Drosophila melanogaster: one gene and its partners. The protein of the gene in region 1 interacts with the protein of each later gene in a pairwise test. Each region holds a gene or a part of one and is shown in the gene's direction. Other genes may lie near its edges. The genes, in order: CG9184, Myo95E and CG16787.

Evidence for each region.
Region 2: the proteins of CG9184 (region 1) and Myo95E interact in a two-hybrid assay, tested with the Drosophila melanogaster proteins (one large-scale study listed by BioGRID).
Region 3: the proteins of CG9184 (region 1) and CG16787 interact in a two-hybrid assay, tested with the Drosophila melanogaster proteins (one large-scale study listed by BioGRID).

What each region holds. Positions count from the first base shown.
Region 1 is NT_037436.4:1,319,093-1,327,336, reverse strand, and holds CG9184 (uncharacterized protein), read left to right. Parts: upstream 1-4,530; 5' UTR 4,531-4,554; coding exon 4,555-4,585; intron 4,586-4,634; coding exon 4,635-5,332; 3' UTR 5,333-5,545; downstream 5,546-8,244. Other genes in the region: Myo61F (myosin 61F), read right to left, coding at 1-439, 502-964, 1,021-1,136, 1,198-1,342, 2,708-2,766.
Region 2 is NT_033777.3:24,157,659-24,166,271, reverse strand, and holds the start of Myo95E (myosin 95E), read left to right. Parts: upstream 1-4,982; 5' UTR 4,983-5,241; coding exon 5,242-5,346; intron 5,347-5,409; coding exon 5,410-5,525; intron 5,526-5,585; coding exon 5,586-6,624; intron 6,625-6,732; coding exon 6,733-6,796; intron 6,797-6,867; coding exon 6,868-6,881; intron 6,882-6,945; coding exon 6,946-7,030; intron 7,031-7,088; coding exon 7,089-7,183; intron 7,184-7,248; coding exon 7,249-7,396; intron 7,397-7,457; coding exon 7,458-7,780; intron 7,781-7,877; coding exon 7,878-8,125; intron 8,126-8,184; coding exon 8,185-8,613. Other genes in the region: Apc2 (adenomatous polyposis coli 2), read right to left, coding at 1-1,399, 1,463-2,098; mRpS24 (mitochondrial ribosomal protein S24), read left to right, coding at 2,787-2,804, 2,865-3,054, 3,112-3,401; TBC1d7 (TBC1 domain family member 7), read right to left, coding at 3,446-3,532, 3,589-3,820, 3,881-4,482.
Region 3 is NT_033778.4:23,954,088-23,962,265, reverse strand, and holds CG16787 (uncharacterized protein), read left to right. Parts: upstream 1-4,860; 5' UTR 4,861-5,083; coding exon 5,084-5,845; 3' UTR 5,846-5,931; downstream 5,932-8,178. Other genes in the region: CG13566 (uncharacterized protein), read left to right, coding at 1-120, 185-264, 319-611; alpha-Catr (alpha-catenin related), read right to left, coding at 930-1,046, 1,547-1,753, 1,807-2,127, 2,186-3,693, 3,754-3,934, 4,047-4,076; thoc5, read right to left, coding at 5,971-6,213, 6,270-6,806, 6,860-6,947, 7,006-7,118, 7,173-7,967, 8,028-8,102.

The sequences.
Region 1 (8,244 bases):
CCAGAATGCCCATCACATTATTTCTGGATGCCCGCGTTTCCTTCGCCTGCAGCGAGATGTTGAGGCGCTGAACCAGCCAGGAGAACAGACGATCATAGACAGCCTTGGCCAAGGCGTCCCTGGCATAGATGGCGAGCTCCTGGTTCAGTGGTGAGGTCACCACATCTCCCCGAGCGTCAATTGTGCGGTGCGTTAGGGCGGCTTCCAGTTCGCTTGCGTTTACACCCAGCAAACGAGCAGCGGTGACTACCAGATCCCTGCTGTTCACCTTGGCATTGCCCTCCACCTCAGTGAAGCCAACGTTTCCTAGATGCAGAATGCTGGCCACGATTCCGAAGATCTCGCGCTGCTCCTCCTTGGTGAAATCGATCACAGTGAGAGCCTGCTGGACCTGCTTGAAGCTGTCCGCATCGTTAATTCTCGTCACGGTGCCATTGAGCTGTGGATTAGAACTCGAAGATCAGAGACCAATTGTCAATACCCTCCAGGCTGCCCACTTACCCCATCTGTCAGGTAGCTATAAGTGTCCAGAGCCCGCTCCAGGCGCAGTTCCTGCAGAAGGGCCTCGTCGGCGCCGGCCAAGAGTTGGTAGAAGATGTGGAAGTTGCGCTCGCCTCCCATTTGAGCCACCACTCGCGACTTTTCCAGCAGATAGTTTAGGATGTTGCCTCCGATCGGAGCTCCTTTGAAATCGAACTGGATGTCCATGTACTTGCCGAACCGCGAGGAGTTGTCATTGCGGTTTGTCTTGGCATTGCCGAAGGCCTCCAGCACGGGATTGCTCTTTAGCAGCTTGTCCTTGACGCCCTCGACGGTCGTCTGGTTGCCGGAGCAGGCGGCTATGAACTGCAGCACCTTCTTGGAGGCCTCTGTCTTGCCGGAACCACTCTCTCCGGAGATGAGCACGCACTGGCCGCGGTTCTCCTCGATCAGCGAACGGAAGGCGTTGTCAGTCACCGCAAAGCTGGACAGGAATGCTCATTATTTGGTGGTTCAATGCAACTTGGTCTTGAGACTCACATGTGTGGGGGCATCTCGTAGAAGTGCTTGTTTCTGTACGCCTTGACATGGTCATCGGTGTAGATGGGCAGCTGCTTGTAGGGATTCACGGAGATCAACACCTGGCCAATGTAGGTCTGCGAAAGGGGATATCGTTATCATTATTTTGACCTATCTTCTTTAACTATTTTTACTCACATAGATCAGGTCCTCCTGGAACCGCTTCTTCAGATTCCCGATGAAGGCTTCTTCGCTCTGGTAGTTCTCGAGGAGCACAAAGTCCTGGACTCCAGCACGATCACGCTCGTGCAGGCCCGTCTCCATTTTCAGTTGGGAATTAAAACTAAAGCAAAGAAAGGGGTTCACATAAGCATCAAAATGATTCCTTAAATACAGATCCCACAGAAACGATTGGTGCTTGCTTCATTGTTAATTTTTCAACTTCCTAAGAAAATCCTCTTCATAGGTCTTATCTTTGACGAACCTAATCGGACTGCCCAGCTGAAAGGGTTGCCATGTTTAACCACCTTGATTAGGAAAAACCTCTTGAAAACCAATTCAGAAAAGCCCCATAGAAAGCCGAAACCCCAAAGATAAGATTTTCGCTATTCGACAATATTTTATAACAGTCCTGCGGAAATGAATCAGGCAAATGATAGTGACTCGTGAATGTGGATATTGTTGATCAATTCCAAATGATCTCATCAGACATATCCAATATAATATTCTATATGAGTCCCAATGCAAATACCCAATCTGGGGTATTTATAGATCCATAGAAGTAATGGTGGGCAGGTGCAATTCACCTTATCAATGCCATATTTCATGGGGCCAAGGGAAGTGGGCAAGTGGTAAGAGTTTGCTTTATTGGACGACTGCTCCAGTTCTGCTGATACGCGGCGGGTAAAACCATAAAAGAAACGATTATGCAATGGATTTGTGACTGGTAGGATTTCTAAGATTCCTAAGAAATGCTGGTCATATAACTGTGGGATTATCCAAGGACACTTCACTAGGTCACTGAGTAAACAATTGCACATCTCTAGATGGATTCTCTTCAAATCACGCTTCTTCTACCTGGCCATGTTTGTTCGATTCTTCTTGTTCCACAACACTACTGCACAAACACCACTGATAGCTCCAATTGATGATTCTCTGGAGGATGTGTCAGATTCCGCGCATATTCCGCCCTTTGACGGCTCCGTTGGCAAACTAAACCGATCCGCTGGCAGTTGAGGCGTTTTAACCATCAATACTTCTCCTCTCCACATATCAATTGGCCTCGTCGGAATTTGTGTTGTTCTTTTTTTTTAGTCGGCACATTTATCAACGATAATATACCTATGACTGCGATGAGGAGGGCAATGCCGCCAATCAGTCCCCGATTAGATAGTGCCTTTCGCGAATAAACTCGGGACCCGATTTAGGAGACCATGACAGAAACGCAGCGCACCAAAGAATTCCGGATCGGCTGTATTCCGGAGTTCCAAGTACCTGAGATCACGATACGTCTTTTTCGCATGCGTCAATCCTAAAGATATATGCGTTCCCATCTCCCATCATTCCGAGCAACCCAATGTTTTCAGTTGATTCATAATGTGGTTCCTCCTAGCTACGCGAACCAGTTTCTTGGTTTTTAGATAACTAATCAAGAATTATTCTATATGATTTATAATCTATTCACTTTCTTTATCTTAGCACTGCTTACTCTATGTAGTCCTTAGTATCCATTATTGCGAAGATCAAGGATTTGATTTCAATGTACATAAGGAATTCCTTTACTTAGTTCTTGCTCCACAATTAGCTAATTTCATAAACTTGCTTCTCCAAAATGTAAATTATAACTTAATGCTTTCAAGATTTCTAGATGACTGCCGCGCTTTCGGGACATTTCTGAGTGAGTCAGAGCTCGAAACTCACAACCCCGACTCAGAAAAGTGCTCCAGCTCACATTAGCACTGTGTTATCAGCTATCAGTGTGCTAAATAATAAGTCATTGCCGAATGAAAACATTGTAAGTACACACACTAGATTGCAATTGCCTCCACCGCCACTATTGTGTGTTTCCATCCACTCTGCGCCACTTGGAAGGGGATTTGCTGTGTGGAACTGGAACGAATGCCTGACTAATTGCGAAATGTTTGCCGGGAAGACTTCCCAGGAATTCTCGAAGAGACCGGCAGACACGTCCCAGTCGTTGGAGCCGAGCTCGCCGTGATTCGATGTTTGTCACATAATTGTTTAATTGCACGTAGGGCAGATGGAAGTGGATATCGATCATGTCGAAAACCATATACGAATACATCACCCAATGGGCACAGCCATTTGCAGTCATTCTGCAATCACTTTAGCACTTTTGACAAACCAACCATCGCCTAAGATTATGCTACGTCTATTTAAGGAATCCACAAGTTGGAGGGCAGGTGAGTGCAGATCTCATGGAACTGTTTGGGATCCAATTGACACGAGTATATGTTGTATGATAAGAGAGTTGCCAAAGTTGACTGGGTGGCGGGGCAAGCCTCTACAGATACTTTCATGATTAGATAAACTAGCTGGGGGATATAAAATGAATTAAACTGTAAATATTAATGAGTGTGTAGTCATTATAATTATACTTTGCTCAATATCCCTGCAATAACACGGTTTCTCCCTACTATGAAGTCATTGACTTTCTGTTCCCTGGGGGCGTTGCTTTTGTCGGCTTGATCCACTCTTTCTTTAATCCCCATTCAGCGGTCTAATAGAGTGGGGAACTGGTTTCCCGATCCAGAAATACTCCAACGGGTGATGTAACAGAGAACTCCACATTTTGTTGTATCAGACGACTCGTAAACATGTCTACGACACACGACCTATAACGGAACCCAAAAACCATGAGTCCCACCCAAACGAAAAAGTTCCTAACCCATTAATCGCACACCGAAAGAAATAGTCGAGCATTAAGAATAGGAAACCAAGAGGCAGAGGCTGATTTGCTTTGTAGCGAGATGGAGAAATACATTCGTAAAAAGTAAAGATAAGTTCTAAAGACGGAAACTCAACGATAATACAATAAGTTCAAGGGCACATATTTCCAAAAAATTTGTTGCCAACTCAAGAGCTTTGCTGAATATTTTTTTGTTCAGTGGCATGACCAACCTTCATCTGCATTCAAATGTCGTCATATATCAAGCAGCAATATCGCGGGATATTGAACTCTTCGAATTCATTTGGAAAAATGCAGGGCTGGCAGAACGATCATGGAAGTGGAATGAGAAGTGGAAAGATCCCACAAAGCCCCTACAAGCATTTATATCATATGCAAATTAATGAGCGCAGTTATTAGAACGGTGCTTGATCGATCCGAGATCGAGATCGAGTTCGAGCTGGAGCTGGAGCTGGGGATGGAGATGGAGATGGACACAGAAGAAAGAAAGGCATCCCAAATTTGGGCCACTGCATGGGTTATTCTAATGAGGAAACCGGGAACGAGATCCCACACATCTCATCACAGATGCACCGCGTATAAAAGGGCAATGCAACTGGAGTGGTCAGGTTATTCCGAGAGAGATCATGGATCGGAGAGTGACTGCGATTGGTTTGGGTGAGTACGGACGATCGGCTGCCTAGAAAGAGTGACACATCCTTTTCAGTTATCCTGCAGCTGCTGGTCAGCGGCCTCTGTTTCCAGGAGAAGGCGCCACTGCAGACGAGCCTGGTCAGCGGACAGGCCAGGACCGAAAAGCAGCAACAGGTGCTGGACGATCCGCTGGGAAGTGGACGCGGGATTGACGAGCACCTGCTGAAGACCATTGGTAAGGGCGGCATCAAGCTGGTGATGGCCTCGGGAGCCCCGTCGACCACCCCGAAACCGTCAGTACAACACCATTACTATTATCCACCAGAGGATCAGCAGCACCCACGGCAGTATGGCTATCCACCGCAGTGGTCGCCAGGACCGCCCGCTTATCCGCCGCCACCGCAGCGTCCTTGGGGGCCACCCCCTCCGCCCGGACCACCGCCGCCAGGACCTCCTCCTCCGCCGGGACCCTACTACAATCCCTACTACAATGGCTACAACTACTACGGCGGATATGGCGGCTATGGATATGGGGGCTTTGGATATCCCGGCTTTGGCGGCTATTCTGGCTATCCCTACTATCCCTTCTATCGCTCCTCGACGGCTGGCGAGGTCGATAACCAACTTCCCGGTGCCGATGGACTCACTTCCGCCGCCATTCCTGGCGTTTTCCAGGGCAGGGCCGTGCTGTCCCACCAGAACTTCCTCGACGGCAGGAACAACGCTAACGTTGTGCCACTTTATCACCTACTCCAAATGGCCAGGGCTTGAAGTACTCTAATCCAATCATTGATTAAAACTTAATAAATTGTGTACCATGTATATTCCGAGTAACCGCGTGATGCATTGTAGTTCTTACTTATCATCGCATGCGTTCTAGTTTATAGCCCTATTCAATATCTAATCGATTCTGACTGGATAAATGTTTAAAGAAATCGTCCAACTGAAAGCCCATAATAGTAGAAACAGAATTGCAGAAAGGAGAAAGGCAGAAGGTGTTTCTATTAATCCACTCGAGATTGACGATTACTTAAACCCTGATAATAGCTTTGCCAGATCATCCAACTGAATGGATCGTTAGATTATAAAGAACCCAGTTGAGGCCGCTGACCGAGAGTAAAGATGATCGAATTCGTTCAAACGATCGTCATCATCGTCATTTCTCGCACCCGCAAAGACTGGAAATTCAAATTCAAACTGGGCAAACTTATCGAGCCGGTTGCAAATACATATGTATATAAGAGAATCTGGACGCTCGGTTGCTGAGTCACCCGCTTTTAGGGACGAGTCTTCTGGGCACGAGGAGATCTCGAGGAGATCACGCCGCCATTGTGACGCATGCCAAGTGCCTGGGTCTCGGTCTCGGATAACCATTAAGTATTAAACAATCACTGGGGCCCGCTGTTTTCTTAGCTCACTGCGAGCCATAAAAAGCGTCAACAGCTGAGGCCGATCTTGAACGCGATTTACTGCCAATTGCAAAAAAAAAAGAAAAAATCTGCTGAAAGAGCTGCCCAAAAGCGTTTCGTTTTGTTTCGTTTTTGCCTTTCCTACTGTTTTGGCCGCTTCAAAACAGACTTTTTGCTCGTACTCACGTCGAATAAGAGTTTGGAGTTTGGGATTGGGGCTTCCACGAAAAGCCCTTACTTGGCACTTTACCGAACCTGAGCAAATCCGAGGTGCGATGTAATGGTGATCCCAACACGAGCTCACTCAAGCTCACTCCTCCGTCGAAAGAAATGGAATGGAGTGGAAGTGCTGGCTCCGTGTTCTTGGTTCCTCGCCAGTCGAACTTTATGACTAGTGGGGATTTTTGCTATAATTGTACTTGTGCCATACAATTGATTGAATGGGGCATATTGCCACATGGCCAATTACCGCTTTATTAAGGTGGATCAGCAGTTTCTCAGCCAGGATACTACAGATAATAGTAGAATGCCGTCAATATTTGTAATTTAAAAGGTGAAAATGAATCGTAACTTCTTTAAGAGATCGTATCTTATACATCTTTAAAGAACAATGTCTGAATGAATCCATTCACTAGGTAAGACCAGGTCATTCTCTACTCTTCCAAGTGACACATCTGCCCATTCATAAAAGAGGGCATACCAATTGTCGACCAGACCTCCACATCTTTCGTGGAAAAGCGATGTGCTTCGATGGACGTTTACGACAATCGCTTGTGGTCTTTTGTCGATTCAACTTAATTTTCGTATCTTATCTTATTAGACATTAATTAATGTCATAATGCAGCTGGCTAAGAAGAGGTAAAAGCACCCTGTATGTACATATGTAGAGCGTACACGATCAATATCATATCAGTAAAACTGGTTGAACCCAGCGAGAAGATAACGCCACCGATTCCGATAAGAGAAAGTTCAAGTTTGTCATCAGGCCGCGATTTCGAAATTTTTTCAGGTGGGTGCGGGTCGCCGTTTCCCCTAGACACCAGGTTATGCTATATTTCGAATATTCCGTGGACTCCATAGAGTCAAATGGGCACATGACAAGGCTGGGCGATAATAAATATCGCAATTACCCGAACCAAAAGGCGTGCAATTTTATTTCCTTCTCCGGTTCTTCGTTTGTTCTCTTGGCCTCTGGGTTTGTTTGCCAAACGGTTAGTTCGCAGAAAGTTGGCATTACATCATTACCAAAATTCGGGTTTTCGTGATACGCTTGGTTTTCCAATTCGTTTCTTTTGGGTGCCAAGTGTGAGGCAATGACATTGGGGGCAATGCTTTGTGCACTCGAAAAAAGGTGTTCTACAATCGCCTCTAGTCTAGCTTCAATACCATTAAGTACTTTAAAAGTGAGCAGATCCCAGATATTTTAAGACTACAGGTAGGTATTTGACAATATTATTATATTGTTGCGAGCTTGTATTTGAACAGCTGCCAGATTTGGCGAATCATTCGGTTTCGTTTTCGATCCATTGCAGTTGGTTATTTTTAAGCGGCTTATTGCCGCTGTTTTCAAAACTGGGTCAAATTAATGGAGGGCCGTCGCAGTGTGGAAACGAAATTGAAATTTGATACAATTTCAATTGGTCAGCGAGTAGGCAAGCGGAGCAAGGGGATACATCCCCGCCAGCTATATCCACCGATTACTCATGTCTCCCCCATAGCCAAACACATACGCCCTGTTGACCCTCTTTGTGTGCCCCGCCTGTTTGTTCCTGCTATAAAACCTGGGCAAACAAGCTCATCCCCGGGGAGCGAGGGACAGGTGAACCCCCCCAGCCAGTTTACAAATATCCTCGCAGACGATGTGTGGAGTGAAGACCCAGGAAGCGAACGGAGGAGCGAGCGAAGCGGCGAAATTGAGGTGCCGGTGCCTAAACGCTCGCTTTATTAGAGGAGCATCACAATAAACCAGATCTCTTCGATTGCGGTGGCTGCTGCACTGGGAGAATCATCTTCCCATATTATTTATTATTTCAAAGAACCGATCATGAAAAAGCACCCTTGATTATCATTGAAAGTTGTTAGGAAAGTTAGAAACTGCGTAAACCATTTGCATTTATGAGTTAAACTAATCCTTGAGGAAACGTTTCTCGCAGTGCATTCCTGCTTTTGTTGCTCTTTTGTGCCGCCGCTGTGGCTTTTGTTGCGTTTGGTGTCCAAGTTCAAATCGTGCAAAGGAAAGAAAGCAGCGGAAGACGCTGCACAGATCACGACCAC
Region 2 (8,613 bases), on another chromosome or scaffold:
CCTCGCAGGCAACCGTTTCGTCGTCGCCAACCAATGAGTCCATAGAGCTGCGACGCGAAAACATTAATGGAGTTTCTAGTGCGGAATCGATGTTTTGAGGCGTATTTCCGTCAACGTGCACCGGGAGAACCGCAGTTTTCGTTGGAGTTTTTGGCGGCATACATTTCTCCGGTTTCTCTGTGAGGCTGTTGAGCGAGTCGAAGCGACTGAAGCTGCCGGGAGTCCCTTCTTCACAGTAGTTTATTGGTCGCTCTGCCGTTTCCGTCTCCGTTTCGGTGGCAATTTTCTGCTTAGCTGCTGAAACCGCCACCAGGCCAGGACTATTGCGCAGCTCCGTGGCCGAGGAGGACTTTGTCAGTTGCAACTCCTTACTTCTAATCTCATTGGTCTCCGACTTCAGCTCCGGCTGTGCCGTCTGAGCGGATCGTCTCTCCTTATATCTAGCACTGAAATCCGTTGGCTGATCCAAGTCGATCTCAAAGGTCTTACTGCTATTGGGTTTGTGCTCCATGTACTTCATGGAGTAGTCAATGGGCTGCTCTTCAGTGGGTGTCACAATTTCGAAGGGATTCTTCGCTCCCTCCGACTTGGTTGAGTATTTAGTGGAATCGGATTTGCCCGAGTAAATGGACTCTCGGCTCTCACATTTTCTGTTCAGAAAGCCAGTTGTGCTGACTGTTGAGGGTCGCACTTTCTTAAGCGATCCCGTGGGATTTGAGCTTAGGCGCAGTGAGCTGAATCTCCGTGGCAGCGTACCTCCATGGCCAGCTTCCTTGTCTAGTGGCAGTGACCCACCATCTCCATTGGGCATAAGCTCCTGAGTGGCCCTGAAATTAACTAGGTTTTTCAAAGCCGAGGCACTGCCCTCCGCAATCATGGAGTTCTTGGAGCTGATTAGGGCCCGCAAGAGCGGGATGGCATTGTGGTCAATGAGGTATTGCTGGTCCTCGGGACAGCGCGCCGAGAGATTCCACAGAGTTCCGCAGGAGTTGCTTACCACGGTTAGGCTCTCCGATTTCAACTGTTGCAACAGAATGGCAAGGCAATTGTACCGTCTTAGGATTTGTCGGTACGGCTCACACACCGCAATATGGCTCGATACATTTCGAAGAATGCCGCCTGCATTTTCGATGATCTTAAGAGTTTTACTCGGACCCTCGTAGCTAAGCATTCCGACCAAAAATGCCAGTGCTCCGTCTACTGCACAAAACTCCGCCTTGTTGGTGCTGCAGTGCGCTGAGAGATTCCAAAGGGCTGAAAGTATGGCCTTGAGAGTGTTCTCGTTCTTGTTTTGCATGGCTGCTCGAGCCAAGGAGGTCACAGTACCCAGCTCGTTAAAGATAGTCTTCATGTGTTTGTCCGCGCGCCACGAAAGATTGCGAAGCACACCAGCAAGAACCTGATGAGATCAACGGTAATTAAATTACGATCTTTTTTTCTTAATCTCCAAGATTAAACTCACCTGTAGCAGTTCATCCGGAGCCGTGTTCAATTGAGCAATGACCACTTCCATGAACTGTCGCTGACCGCACAGATACGATTTGTTATGGACGTTCTCGTCTCCGAAGGTGAGATTCGTGAGGGCCATGAGGCCGTAGCTCCTGAGGGCGTTGCACTGTTCCCTACCGGCAGCCGGTCCATGGACCGCATGATCAAGGTGGACCAAATTGGGAATCGCCTTGAGGGCTCCCAGTTCGCACATAGTCTGGCGGTGCTCCTCGTCGAAACTGGCTTTCATCAGGAGCTTCATAGCCGCCAGCGGATGACGATCTTCATCATCTGCGATAGCCTCACCGCCGCTCTGCAACTGGGTGTGCAGAAAGTTACAGTAGTCGAGGATCTGGTCCAGCAGGCGCAGCATCTTCACCTCCCGCTGGCGCTCCTTCTCCTCCGGATTATTGTGGACGATGTTGTGCAGCGCCTGGCTGGCGTACTTTTTCGCCGTGGAGAGGCCTTCGTCGTTGGCGTGCAGAATCTGCACCAGAAGCTGGATACAGTCCGAGCTGCGCAGGGCGGTGCATGTTTCCGGATTTCGAGACAGTTCCAGGAAGTTGCGCGTCAGCTCCAGGCGAGTAGCGTCGCTCTCGTTCAGCGTCATTACTTTGAATGTATCCTCACCTATTAGTGCATTCGGATACCAGGGATTCTGGGAATAAACCTTTGCAGCTTTGCTTCTGGATGAGTCCTGTTGCACGGTCGCTTCAACAGGTAGTTCCTTCTGATCTGAGATCCTCGATCTTTGTTTGAGATGGCCTGCGTTTAAGCCATTTTCCAAGCGCGCAGGCTCAGCGCTCCAGTGCTACCGATTAAGCTAATTTATAGCTAGTTCTGCCCAAGTTCAATGATCAGTCAAAGTTCTTTCGAATAAAGGGATTAATACAAAGTTAACTCTATTTATTAAGGAAGCTCTCAAAATGTTGTTTATTTATATATTTTAAATAAGCGTGCAATAATTTTATTACATTACATTATTACATTTTCCCACCGACAACTGTTGACAACTCTGCCCCGCTTTAAAACAAAATAAAAATCGATTTTAATCAATGCAATAGAGATCCAAGTATTGCATTTAAGAACTAAAAAGGGCATTTACACAACTAAAAATTAATCTTTCTGTGTTTTTATTTAACTACTTCCTTCAATGTTGTTTTTTATTTTATAGAAAATATTTTCACTACACAATAATAATATCGAATACTTATCTATAAATTTGTCCATCTCTAGCGAACCGTTACGTCACGTCAATCAGCTGTTGCTGGACGCAAAATTGTTTCTGCCGCAAAATAATGAACTTCTTGAAAAAGGTGTGTTAAATAACAACAAACAGGACAAATTATATATTAAAATAACCTAATCTATTGCAGCTGTTGCCCCAGGTGGCGACCGAGGTGCAGCAGCTCAGCCGGTCAGGATTCCACACCAGCTCCGTGTGCTGTCGCGTGCAATCCGGGCGATACCGCATAACCACAAAGCGAAACAGGCCTCTTACCTACGAGATGGCCAATCCGCCGCATTTTATTGGCCACCGCAAATCGTGGAACTCATGGAACACGTGTAAGTTGTGAGAAAATTTTATTAAGGAAGCATTTTGATGGCCACCTTCTATCTTAGCAACAATGAAGGATGCCCTGCGTCCGTCCCAGACCGCCATAGAGGATGTGTTCATCCGCAAGTTTGTCACCGGCACATGGCATGCCCTCGTCTGCTCCGAGGTCATTATCAAGCGACAGCACAACACCATTAGGATCGCGGCCCTTATTCGGCAGGCGATTACACCGCGAAAAATGTACTTCCTTATTGGTTACACGGAGGAGCTGCTCTCCTATTGGATGCAGTGTCCAGTGACCTTGGAACTGCAAACGGTGGGCGATAAAAAGGACGTGGTCTTCAAATACATTTAGTTCATTCTGCTATATACATGTCCAATATAAAAGTGTAGATTTACTTAGTGCGTGTACTCGACTTCGCTGCTGTTGTTTTGTAGTGATTTGATGGCCTTGTTTACGATAATAACACCGTCAAGATCCTTTACCTAAGGCAAATTTTGGATAAGTTATGGCTTAGCAAATGGTTTCCTTATTTACTTACCGTTTCTATAAGTCTTTTGACGTCTGCTAAAGATGTTTGCTTTAGTATCGAGGACCTTATGTCCTTAACTAGTTCTACAAACAGGAAAACAACAATCTTCCGGGACCCTCCACAGACTTTGTCCCATATCTTGACCAAATGAGTTGTACAGATTATTCCAGCAAAGCAGGTTATATACCAGTTATCCAGTAGCGTTGAGTTGCCATCAAACAGGCCCAGAAGCTCCAGGTGACTATAAGGAGTAATCGAAGAAAATTGGTCAAATAACCCGACTAACCATATGCAAACTCACTTAAGCAAGGACAAATCTTCGCGCTTCAGTATATTCTGCGTTTGCTCCTTCAGCTTGACGCACTCCTTCTTCAGTTCGCGGGTGTACTTGTAGAATCCCTTTGCTATCCAGTAGGTTTCCACGTTGTCGTCGAATATCTGCAGCAACGTGCGCACAATCTCTATGAAGTGCATGTCGTCCGCCTGGAGACTGGCACTAGTATTGCCATGCCACAGTCGATTGGACTCTATCAGCCACATGGTGTGCATGACCTGTGCTTTCTTCTTATGGTCTATCAGCCACATGAAGGGCTGCTCCTTCTGCTTATGGTCGGTAAACCGGAGCACGGTTACCGCTCGCCGCAGATCCTCGTACATTTCGCGTCTTTGGTCGCGTACGTACGCCGTGGACGCTTTGTGGAGCGGGAGAATACCCATGACCAGGGCCCACAGATAGCTCCTATTGTTGTTCGGCACTGTGTAGTTCATGCAGAATTGTTTCAGCTTGCTCAGGTTGCGGATGTCATCCTGTAGTAGTTTGTTCAGCGACTTTTGTTCCTCGACGCTGTTTATTTGGCATTTTTCATAGTAGATGGACCTGAAGTTTCGCTCGTCAGTATTCATGGTAATTTTTGCGTTTATTATCCTAACAATAGGGATGGCAAACCCACCGCGAAGAATAACCAGCTTCGATTACCGACGCTGGTAACACCCTAGCAATGTTTATACTATAATTTTAAAACCATTTTGAGAGCTTAAGTCTAGTAAAATAATAGCCTTTTAAATATAACAGATATTAATAAACCATTCAATTTAATATAAAATTAATTGTTATTTTAAAACTATTAAAATTAGATATAATAATCTTTGTAGGGTATGCGAATCGATTGGTGGCTCAGAGACTATATCGATATGGTCGTCGATGGCTGGGCCACCACTAGTACCCACTGGATGCAAAAATGTCTTTTCTGAAAAGGTAAACAAAATGTGCAAATCGTTGCGAATAAAGACAATAATACGCTAAAAACGAAGGCGTAGAAGGGCAGTCGGGAGTCCTGTTGTCACGGATATTAGAAGCCGGACTCTATCTATCCGGAATATATGAGTGAACACGAGCTCGAGGCTGTTGCTCGCCAGCACATGAAAATCAATAATTGAATCAGAAAATCAAAACACGGATTCGCCCAGATGCATGCAGGCCCGCGATAAATTATGCAATTGTTGGAGCCATTAACAACCCCCCTTACCCTTCCCATCGTTCCCGTTCTTGTTTTGGCCCCGTTTGCAGTTGATGTATTCAAATTCAAATGGTGAACTCGATTTTGGCCGTTGTCGTTGTTGTCACTACTGCCGTGCACGTTGTAATTGGAGCTGGGAATCGCGATGGAGCAGGAAATCGGCACCTGGGACTCGGTACTGTTGGAGAACCTGTCCGAGGATAGTTTCATAAACAACATCCACCAGCGCTATAAGCGCGATCACATATATGTGAGTCCGTACAGTTCTACACTCTTCAGATTTCTATACATTTCCGTATATATTCATTTCCAGACCTACATTGGAACATCTGTTGTGGCTCTGAATCCATATCATCACATATCCGAGCACTCTCTGGACAATGTCCGCAACTATGGCGATAAGGGCATTTTCCAGCTGCCGCCCCACATGTAAGATATCATTTAGGAGGCTGGCCCATTATCTTTACTTATACAACTTTTTTTCATCAGATATGGTCTCACAAATCTGGCTTATCAATCGCTCAAAGATCAGAGCGAGGATCAGTGTGTTCTGCTCACCGGTGAGAGCGGAGCGGGCAAAACGGAGACTTTTAAAATGATCGTGAACTTTCTGACCCACATACAAGATCGCTCCCACTGCCCCCCAACACCGAATGTTTTGCGCAAGCAATCCTCAACTAGCTCGGCCAGCGGATTGGTGATGCACGCCCACAGGCGAGCCTCCAGCAGCTGCTCCGGCACTGCCAATTTTATTATATGCAAAAACCGGGCGGAAAATCCGTCAGGCAGTGTTTCACGGCGACAAAGTCCATCGCCAGGACCATCGCAGCGATCGCGGACGCGGGCCGAGAGCATCGAGCGCCAAAGCAGGCGCCACATGCGGGAGAAAATTGTCGACTTTGATTTCTCACACCACAAGAGTAGCGAAAACATCAGCGGCCTTCCTGAATCGCACGCCCACCACATGCATCCGACCAAGTCGTGCTTCAAGCACCAGCAGACCCAAGTCAGCGCCTGCACTGCAATGCCCGCAGCAGCCAAGGGATCGCCCAAATACGCGGTACCCACCGTGTACGGCGGTTGCCGCCAGTGCGGACACAGCAAGTGTGTCCGTGCTCAGAGCCTGGAAAAGGAGGAGCGGGATGATCTACGAGGCAGCAACTGCCGCCTGTCTACCATAGCCACTGCCACCACCAATCCGGCACATCCGCATCGCGGTAGTTGCTCCAACCTGATGCGCCAGCACTCGACAGAGAGTCAGCCGGAGCGGGAGCGGGATCGAAGCTCCCTTATGGGGTCCACGCAACGTATATCGCTGTACGATGCACACAAGCTGAGTAAGGTTCTGGGCGATCTGCCGCCGCCTCCGCCTAGTTCTGTTTCGCCCACGCCATCGGCCAGCTCTTCGCTGCACAGGCGTCATAAATCGCCCACGCAACGAATGCGAGAGTGCGTCACCTGTGCGGATGTGTTCCTGGAGGCCATGGGCAATGCCTGCACCCTGAAAAATAATAACTCTAGTCGATATGTAAGTGAAATGTGTATGTACTGAAATGTGCAAGAATACCTCCGCACTTTTACAGAGATAACTTAAATATGACTTTAATTTTAATTTTCTATTGTTTTTTGATTTCAGGGAAAGCTATTTGATATCGAAATTGATTTTAAGGGAGATCCAATGGGAGTGCACATTACCCATTGTAAGTAAAACTCCACCTATTAATTATAAATATGTATTCTGACATTTATTTAATTCGTGCGTACTTCTAAGATATGTTGGAAAAGGTTTGATTGATAATTTTAATTAACTTAGTTTAGTTATTATGTCTAATATTTCATCTGTTTGCAGACCCGTATAACGGACCCTATCATTGGAGAGCGAAATTTTCACATCTTTTACCAATTACTATTAGGAGCTGATCTCCAGTTGCTAAGTAAGATGTTTCACTCGTTTTAAATGCTACCTGCTAAATGCTATTGCTATCTTCTTAGAATCGCTCAAGCTGTATCGAAATGTGGAAAAGTACGAGCTGCTCCGCAACACAACTGCCATGGAGGAGGACCGCATGAATTTTCATTATACGAAGGTTAGATCTTAACCGGATTATTATATAAGTGAACAAATAACCGATGGGTTTCACTTCTATTCCAGCGATCCTTGGATGTGCTGGGACTTAGTTGTGAAGAGAGCAACTCCATCTTTCGGGTCATCGCAGTGGTTCTAAAGTTGGGTAACTTTATTTTCGTACCCATTACTAACATTGATGGAACTGAGGGTTGTCAGGTGTCCAATGTATACGGTATGTTTATTAAGTTTATTATATTACCGGCAACATAATTTATAATATATTCCATTTACAGAAGTTCAAGAAACAGCACAGCTTCTTAATATGGAAGCCCAAATTCTCATAAATTGCTTAACCAGAGCGAATAGCACGAACAGCGCTCAAGAGGATGTGGGTTGCGAAATGGATGCACGACAAGCAGCTACCAACCGAAACACGCTGTGTCGCACTCTTTATAGCCGTCTCTTCACGTGGCTGGTGAACAAAATTAATGAGTCCCTGAAGTCAACACAGCGCGAAAAGAACCTAGCATTGCTAGATTTTTATGGATTCGAAGCGCTGGACCACAACTCATTTGAGCAATTTGCCATTAACTACAGCGCGGAAAAGATCCACCAGGCAAGTACACATGACTCATCCACTTTAGTTAATGAAAATTACATTGTCTTAAATTAAAGGTCTTTAATATTGTAATTTAATCCTTCTCCCATTTCAGAATTTTGTGTTTCATGTGCTGCGTTCGGAGCAAGAGCTCTATATTCGCGAGGGATTGGAATGGTCTCGCATTGACTATTTCGACAACGAGTCTATTTGCGAGTTAATAGACAAACCCAGCTATGGTATATTGAGCTTGATTAATGAACCCCATTTAAATAGCAACGACGCTTTGCTTTTGCGAGTTCAGCAATGTTGTGCGGGGCATCCCAACTTTATGACCACCGGCAGCAATTCCATGTGCTTTCAGTATGTAATTGAGCAATGTGATCTCATTCTCAATAATGTCTCAATGTCTTTATTTTCAGGATTCGTCATTATGCAAGTGTAGTGAACTACTCAATACATCGGTTTCTCGAAAAGAACTCCGACATGCTGCCGAAGTACATAAGCGCTGCCTTTTATCAGAGCAAACTTTCTTTGGTGCAAAGCCTATTCCCCGAGGGGAATCCCCGTCGACAGGTTACCAAAAAGCCCAGCACGTTGAGTTCGAATATCCGCACCCAATTGCAGACGCTGCTGGCCATCGTTAAGCATCGCCGCTCCCACTATGTGTTCTGTATTAAGCCCAACGAGGGCAAGCAGCCGCACCAGTTCGATATGGCTCTAGTGCAACATCAGGTGCGCTACATGTCGCTCATGCCGCTGGTCCACCTGTGTCGCACTGGCCATTGCTACCACCTGTTGCACGTTAAGTTTTTTCATCGCTATAAGTTGCTCAACAGCCTGACGTGGCC
Region 3 (8,178 bases), on another chromosome or scaffold:
GAAGCAGTCCAGGGAGTGGACCCTCCTCAACAGCATCTCCTGGTCGAAGGAGGGCGATGACTTCGGCACGCTGACCTTCGTGGGCTATACCTTCATTGCAGCTGTGCTGCTGCTCACGAGGTAACTAACCACCCAGTGACTATGACATATATATATATGATATGCTAAGACCATCTCCTCTTAGGATCATCGAGGGCACCTCAAACTATGGCACCTGTGAGATAATTCTGTTGACCTGTGGCGTTCTGTTCTTCACCATAGAGGGTAATATGGCTCCTGGGATGCAGTAATGTCAGAGTGATGAACTCTCTCCTCCAGGACTACTGATATTCTTCACGGTGGAGCAGCTGTCCGAAGATCTGCTGATATTTGCCTATGCATTGGGAGCACTTTGCTTCATCTGCGCCGCTCTGTTCGCCCTGGACCTGATGTTCTTCAAGAACCTGCTGAAGCTGAGGGACTCCACCGTCCAAACAGACCAGTCGAAGGAAACAGTGGCCCTCAAGGTGTACAATCTTTCGCAGGAACCGAAGATGAGCTGCTGCAACATGATGCCCCGCACTCACATCGTGAACGAAAGCAGCAGGAACTATCTACGCACCGACTTGTAGACCCAAGTGAAAGAGCTCGAGATACATATGTATCTGCATCTGCGTTACCTTTATTGCCGTAACATCGAATGTAGTGAAACAAAATATGCATTATAAGATCGTGCTGCTGAAACAACTAATTGGACTCGTATGTTAATAAAGTTTTCGACATTAATCAACGCTAGAAGCGGCCGCCAACTAATACGCGTACACAAAACGGAATGCAGTGCCAACAGTGTAGACTACGATAGCAAAACCCCCGGGCTCCTCTCAGAACAGCAGGAAGGACACCCTCGTCCTTCGCGCATCCCCCTTGGCTCGGCGAGCCATCCCGTAATGTCAGGGAATGTCGCTGCTGCTCGTCGTCCCCTTGGAATCGCACATGCCGCCGGCCATGTTCTCGTTCGACCGCTCCGAGGTGAGTCCTCCGGTTATGCCAGTTAAATTTAGTTTGTACTGCAAGGCGGAGCAAGGGGATTAGGATTAGGATGGAGTTCGTAGAGGAGCTGGCACTGCAGCTTATGAGTGGCCAAAACCAATTGTTGGTTAAAGGTCACAGTTGGGTTAGATAAACACACGATGGGGGATCTTATCAAGCTATCAACTCAACTCAACTCAAAACTCAATACATCAAGATACATATGTACATACATGCGTGAAATACAAAAGTTAGCGATTAAGATTAAGATACAGCGCCATCTACATTAGCAAAGTCGAAAGTAAGAGATGTAACTAATAAGATTGAGAGTTTAGAAACGGGGATTGAAGCACATCCTCAAAAACCAAAAGGCTTCTCCTGCGCCCCTGGCAACAAACGAAAGCTCTAAAATCATACCTGTAATAATGCATGCTTTAATATCACAGTAAACTATAGAAATCATACACATTGAGAAAGTCTGTAGTATCATCCACTACATATAGGAAATGGCCGCGTGGGCCTGCCTCGGCCTATTTACCTTAGTTGCGCACTCAAAGCACTTCGACACTACTTTGTTTATAACGTTCATAAGGTTCTTGGTTTCCCTGATGACGTGATCGACCTTCACGAAGGTGGCGGCTTTACCAACCGTGTGGTCTTTGACTGTAAACTGGAGTGCTTGGACAAAAGTCGGCACTCTATCTAAAATGTTGAGGAGATCCTTTTTGTTGTCACTGGCGGGAACCTAAACAAGCGCAGAGTTAGCGACACGGATGCCCATTATCAACCGATAATTACCTGGTATGAAAAGTGGCGGAGGACTTTGTAAAGTCGATTGGCCTCCTCCGCAAAATATTCGGCTTGAGTAAACAAATCCTGAGTTGTTCTTAGAGAACCGTTGCCCTTGGTAAACTGATACATTAGGAAAGCCATCGCGGACATGTTCTTGGCTCTCTTCAGTATGTCGTTGTCGTCCGACAAGTCTTCGCTCCATTTTGATTGATATGTGTTCAGATCTCCGTTGTTCTTGCCTTCGAGGCCAGAATACTCAACCATTTCTCCGTCTTCTGTTGCAGGTACACCGGATTTTGTTAGTTTGTCTGAGGAGCTTTCGCATTTCTGGGGAAGATCGGAAGTAAGTTAGTGATTACCTCGCCCACTCTGGGCAGCAACCCACCTCAGCATCAGCATCTCTGTCACCCTTGGTGGTGTTGATCGAGACGAGGATCTTCTTGGCGATCATGGAGATCTCGTTCGTCAGCCACTTCCACATGTCCGAGAAGGACTCGAAGTTCTCGTTGGCCGCACTGCTGTTGGAGTACTTCCACAGGATTTTGGCCGCGATGAAGACCTGCGGCCCGTAGATCCGCAGGTTGATCGCCAGGCACTTGGCCTGCACCTGCAGCCGCTCCGTGGGCGCAATGTGCTGCAGCAGCTTGCAGATGTCGAAGATGTGATCGCAGCAGTCGTGGAACTTCGAGGAGCGCTGGTTCAGATTGTCGATGTCGTAGTTCGTTGCCAGTACGTGGAACGACTTGACCAGCTTGGAGCAGATCTTGAGCGACTCGTTGAAATCCTCGATCTGGCTGGACACGGAGACGACCAACTGCTTGCACAGCTCCTCCAGGCTGCTCAGCATACCCAGTTCGGGATCTGACCGACCCTTCACCTGGCCTCCGCCCACTCCTCCAACTCCACCGGCTCCACCGCCACCCTCGTGCTGATCCTTCATGATGGTGTTCAGGTAGAGGTCGAACTCCAGCTTGCAGTTGTCGCAGTAGGAGAGGATGTTCTTCCGATGGTTGTGGCTGATGTAGGGGGAGTCGGTGAAGTCGTGTGCCTTCTCGAACAGCTTCTCGAAGGCGAGCGAGAGCTCCTCGCGCAGGTCCAGGCTCTCGGAGCTGAGGTGCTTCCTGAAGTTCGTGTTGTTCACCATGCGGCCGCCGCCCGCCGCGGAGGGCAGGTTCTTCTCCGACTTCCACAGGTCATCGTCCAGGAAACTGAAGTAGGCGTCGGAGTTGTTGTTGCCCTCGCCAGAGCCCTCGTAGTAGCTCATCTGGTACTTGTACCGCTTGATGAGGTTCACAATGCGCTTTATTGTCGTGTAGATGCTCTCGTTCTCGTAGTTCGGGTTGCTCGCCTGCTTCTCGAACGGCATGTGCTTGGCCGTGTCGAAGATGCTGTCCTTCACCACGAAATGGATGAGGTCCATGGCCCTGCGGATCTGGCAGAACACAGTGTCCCGGTTCTCCTTCACGATCACGCAGTCGCTGTGGATCAGGCTGTTCTTCGAGGACGTCAACAGGATGGCGATGGACTTCTCCAGTATCTGGCGGGCCGAGAACATCTGCGCCCGCCGTCGCTCCTCCTTGAAGGAGTTGCGGTGGTGGCCCGTGAGGTAGGCCAGCTCAATCATCTCGGTTCCGAACACGGAGAAGGCGCGCACGAATTCCGTGAAGTTCATGACCGACTCCAGCTTCTCCAGGCTCTCGGAGGCCCGCTTCTTGGCGGTCAGCAGCTTCTTCACAACTATGATGTCGACCAGCAGTAGGATGCGCGTGACGGACGACAGCAGGGAGCGGGCCGCCAAAATGATGGCTCCATAGTCCTTAAGGGGCTCGATGTGGTGGCGCAGCTCCATGCCGCTTAGAGGTGAAATATCACAAAGTCGTTCAATCGATTTTCCTATCGTACAACAAAATACAATGAAAAGGATGTACCAGGCTGGAAAGGATGTCTTCTTACCCGCATCTCTGGCCTCCTTCGCCGCCTCGTACATGTCTCCCTTGATGTCAATATTCTCCTCGGCGATGATCTCGCCAATGGTTATAAATCGCTCCACGGCAATGTTCAGCAGGTGACCTATGTTCCCAAAAGTGGACATGATCTGCTCGTTATCCATATCACGAACTCGAAAGCGTTGATTCTGGAGAGGGGAAGGAGAGCCCACATTGGCAGTTGGTTGGGTTTCAAGGCCAATCAATAATCGCTGAGGACTAGAACGGAAAGTTATCCCGGACAGCCGGTTGGGTACTTACGTTAACAGTTGATTGAGTGATTCCGTACATTTTGGATAGCTCGGTTACCGATAGAAAAATTGATTATACGTAGTTTAAGAGTATCCGCAAAGCGAGTTTCAGGCATGCAGCATTTTTATTTACTTCCTATTGATTTTTCTCAATACTAGGGCTAGCAGAGTCGAGTAGACATTGCAACTAAGTCGAGAATTTGGCACTCAATAATACGGTCACCGATTAGCGCGTCATAGTACGAGGCTCTATGGGTTTAAGCTCAAATAAAAGTCGATTTTTCAGCCAGCGAAAGCTCCTCAGCTCAAATTAGTGTTATATAGCTGGGTGGCTGTAAACAACGTGTTTACCTGCAGACAGATATATGTGTATGCCCCCAGATTTGTGTGTGATTCGAGCTTGTAACAAATTGGTCTGCGCAGCAAGTCTGCGCACAAAACCATTTAGTACTGTAAAGTGCAACAGTTTCTCGTCAAACGCCTCCTGTGGGATTCGATGCGGATGCGAGTGCCTGGATTCGATGCTTGTTGAGGTACCAAACATTTATCAGAAGAACAACCAAGAAAACCGCATAAGGCAACTCCAAAACCATGTACTTACATAAATGAAAAGTGTTTGAGATTATTGCACTTCAAAAAAGAGACAACATATTTCATGTAATAAGCTTGAAACACTAAATTCAAACCAAATAAGTTATATTTTCCATTTTCATGACTTCCGGTTGCGGAAGTTAATTTGTGAAACTAATCCGGCATGACAACCCTGGACAACGGGAGTTCCCCTAACATCCACACTGGCACTCGCAGCTATTGGGACATTACACACAGTCTGGCCACACTGCAGCCCAACGACCATATGATTTTTGCCGAGTATTTTATTTCCAAATGTTGTTACCTAAACACGAGCACGTCAAATTCCTGAGGGCCGCAAACGAAAAATAGCCAGGATCTAAGTTCAATTTGAATGGTGTGATCTGCAGACGAGGCAGATCTGAATCGAGGAAACCCAGTTCCGGTGAAGGAAGTAGCACACAAAGTCCTTGCAAGATGTTGCGAAATTTCGGGATTTCATCAATAAGAAGGAGCAGCTGGATGGCCAACTGGTGCTCCAAGGAGCGGGCGTGGGCGTCCGCCATGCGGCTAAGTGCGTCTGCGCCGGCGAAGTGTCCACAAAAGTTGTTAAACAGCCATGCCGCCAATAACCTCCAGCAAAGTCGAAGGGCCTACGAGAGCACCAAAGCGGAGAGGCTGCCCGGGAACCCTAAGGAGAACGAGCGTAAGCCCGAGGACCTGGATAGAGCCTACGAGGTTCTGAGGACCACGCTACCAAAGCTGTTCGTGGAGCCCCTAGACTACTCCATTTACAGCCCGGGCCTAATCTTCCACAACAACATAACGGGCAAGCACACGGTGGGCCTGTACCACTACGTCAAACAGATCGCCATCCTGCGAACGGTTGGCCACCTGAAGTACGCCTACGTGAAATTCGAGGTGCTCAAGATCACGAAGCACCAGGACGACTACACAGTGCGGATAAGGTGGCGAGTGCGCGGCATTTCCGGCCTGAAGGTCATGTTCCAGTTCTGGAAGTACAAGCTCTGGCAACTGAAGGAGGTGCTGAAGGATCAGGAGGCCTGGTACGACGGCTACTCTGTCTGCTATCTGGGCGACGATGGGCTGATCGTCAAGCACGTCGTGGACAAAGTGATGCCGGACGAGAGTCGGGAGGCGGTTGAGAACCCTTCTGCGACGGCACTACCTCCCGGATCCTTGGCAGCGACCTCTTCCCAGAAGATCAACTGCCAATGAAGTCGTAGCTAGCTAGCTTTAAATGTTACTTATTTATTGTATTACTAATCGTAATAAACGCAACTGTGAGAACGTTTAGTAACCGCATTGGCGCATTGTGTTGTACAACATTCGTTATTCAACTGTCACTGCTTGAACGCGTAGACCGATCCCTTCTTGATGTATTTGTAGGGGCGTGAGCGGCTCCGCTTGGCGAAGGCGCTTATGTAAGGCTTCTCCTTGTTGTACTCAATGGTGTTTTGCATGGATCCCTCGGTTTCGAGGAATATATCGAAGCTGTAGATGGTGCGGAAGAGCTGCGCGTACAGGATGCAGTCGTTGGGCTCCAAATGTTTGGGCTGCAGGGAGTTGGTCCAGAACTCCATCATCTGAGGAATACAAGTTTAAAAGCTAATTGGAGGATAATACCTGAATAAGTTCAAACCTTGATCGCCGAATTGTTTTGCGCGGTAAGGCATCCGTTCCAGTGCACATTCAGAATCCATAGAGGCATTTCCAGTGGATAGTTACTCGGTATTCTAATAAAGCACTCCATTTTGGCCGATCCCCGGACGATGACAGCGCGGTAAGAGTTGTACGTAATACCCTTGTCCGCTGACGAAGAATTCAGTGCGTCTGAAATTTGCGAGTGAAGCTCCTCATGTGTGATGGCAGTCCATTGGACGAGACTGCACGACAGGCCGGCTGGATAGATGTTCTCCTGCAAGCTATACAAATCGATATCCTTGAAGGTCAGCCCGCGAATCTGCTGGCTTAAACGCTGCCAAGAGTTCAAGCGCCTGGCAATGCGGTCAATAATCTCCTTGTTGTTCTTATTCAAGTTCAGTTCGTGTTTGTACAGCATCGAACTGTTGACGGTTGCAATCGAGCACATACTTTGCAGCCAACAGAAGGGTTTTCCGTAGTCCTTGGCCTTGAGGTAGCGCACACATTCCTCGGCTGTTAAATCCGAGCTTCGTAGCTGAAAGAGCGTAATTTAATTGGTTGTCCAACGTTGGATAAGGAAGTTCTTACCTCGTATTGGATTCCCGGAATGGGTAATTCATTGCCCAAGTCATTGGGGTACAAATGCCGCAATAGGTGGTGAACAAAGTTTGTGTCACTGTGAAAAAATGCCTAGTTATTTATGCGATTTTTTCCTAGGTGTGTTCCAAACTTACCCCTGGCCGTTGGCATTCCTGGAGCAGTTAAGTTGGCCCCAGACAGTGGCACACTTGATAAAATCAAAGTAGCGAATCTGCAAAACGAGCTGATTCGATCCAGCCGCTCCAATCTTTAAAGTTTAGGTTAATAAATGTTTTGGAATGAGCAAACCATGTCATCCTACCGTCAAACAAATGTGTAGTGGGTGAGGAGCGAGTGAGTCGTCCAAGTTGTTTTTATCGGCAATCTTTTCCCGGTCTCCACTTTCCTTTTTAGTCTGTCTGTAGTTCAATGTGGAGCACTTTTTCTCCTTAAGCAACTCCTGCATTTGAGCCTCGCTCTCATAGCCAACCACCTCGGCGGTGAAGGACTGCTCCTCGCTGACCCGCTGCAGCGATTGCAGGACAATGAACAAAACGTAGAGCGGCTTGGGCAGGTACTTGACCACTGCGCTTAGCTTCCATTCCACGTCCAGGGATAGCTGGAGTGCATCGTGCAGCGGCTTTGTGGCGCTCTGCAGAGTGCGCAAGGCGGGTGCGAAGGAGACGTACCGCTGGGCGTGGCTAAGATTGTCCTGGAGCAGTTCCTGCTTGGAGCTCAGCAGGGCGCTGTACTGCTTGTCGAGTGCCTTCCGCAGACGCAGCTCGCAGTCGAGGCGATGAAGGTGCTGCTTGTGGCTGGACAGCTCCTCCGCGTCGTTGGGCATGTCTGGCAGCTCGCTGGAGTACTCGGCTTCCGAGAGCAGCTCCAAGCTGGTGTCCCTGCTCTTGAACTTCTGGCAGCGCACAATCTCCTTCTTCAGGTGGCTCACTTCGTACAGAAGATTCTGCAGCTGCAGCCGGCTGAGGTCCACCTTGCACTTTTCCAGGTGCAGCTTGTCGCGCCCCGCTTTGATCTTGTGCTTCACCTCGCGGTTGGCGTGCTTCAGAGCCACGAACATCAAGGTGGTGGCAATGCGAGCCTCATCCGTCGATTGCCCCTGCTCGTGACGGATGTGGACGGATTTAGAGCTGTACTCTGGCACGGAAATCGGACTTACCTTGCTCTTCGCCTCCTTAATTCCCTCTATGGCCTTTTGCAGCTGATCGAACTGCGTGTTCAATATTGTTTCCATTTTATTTGGCGAAATTGTAAATCAGAAGCCGCAAAAGTTGTTTTTATTAACAAAACTGATATAATGTGGCCAGGCT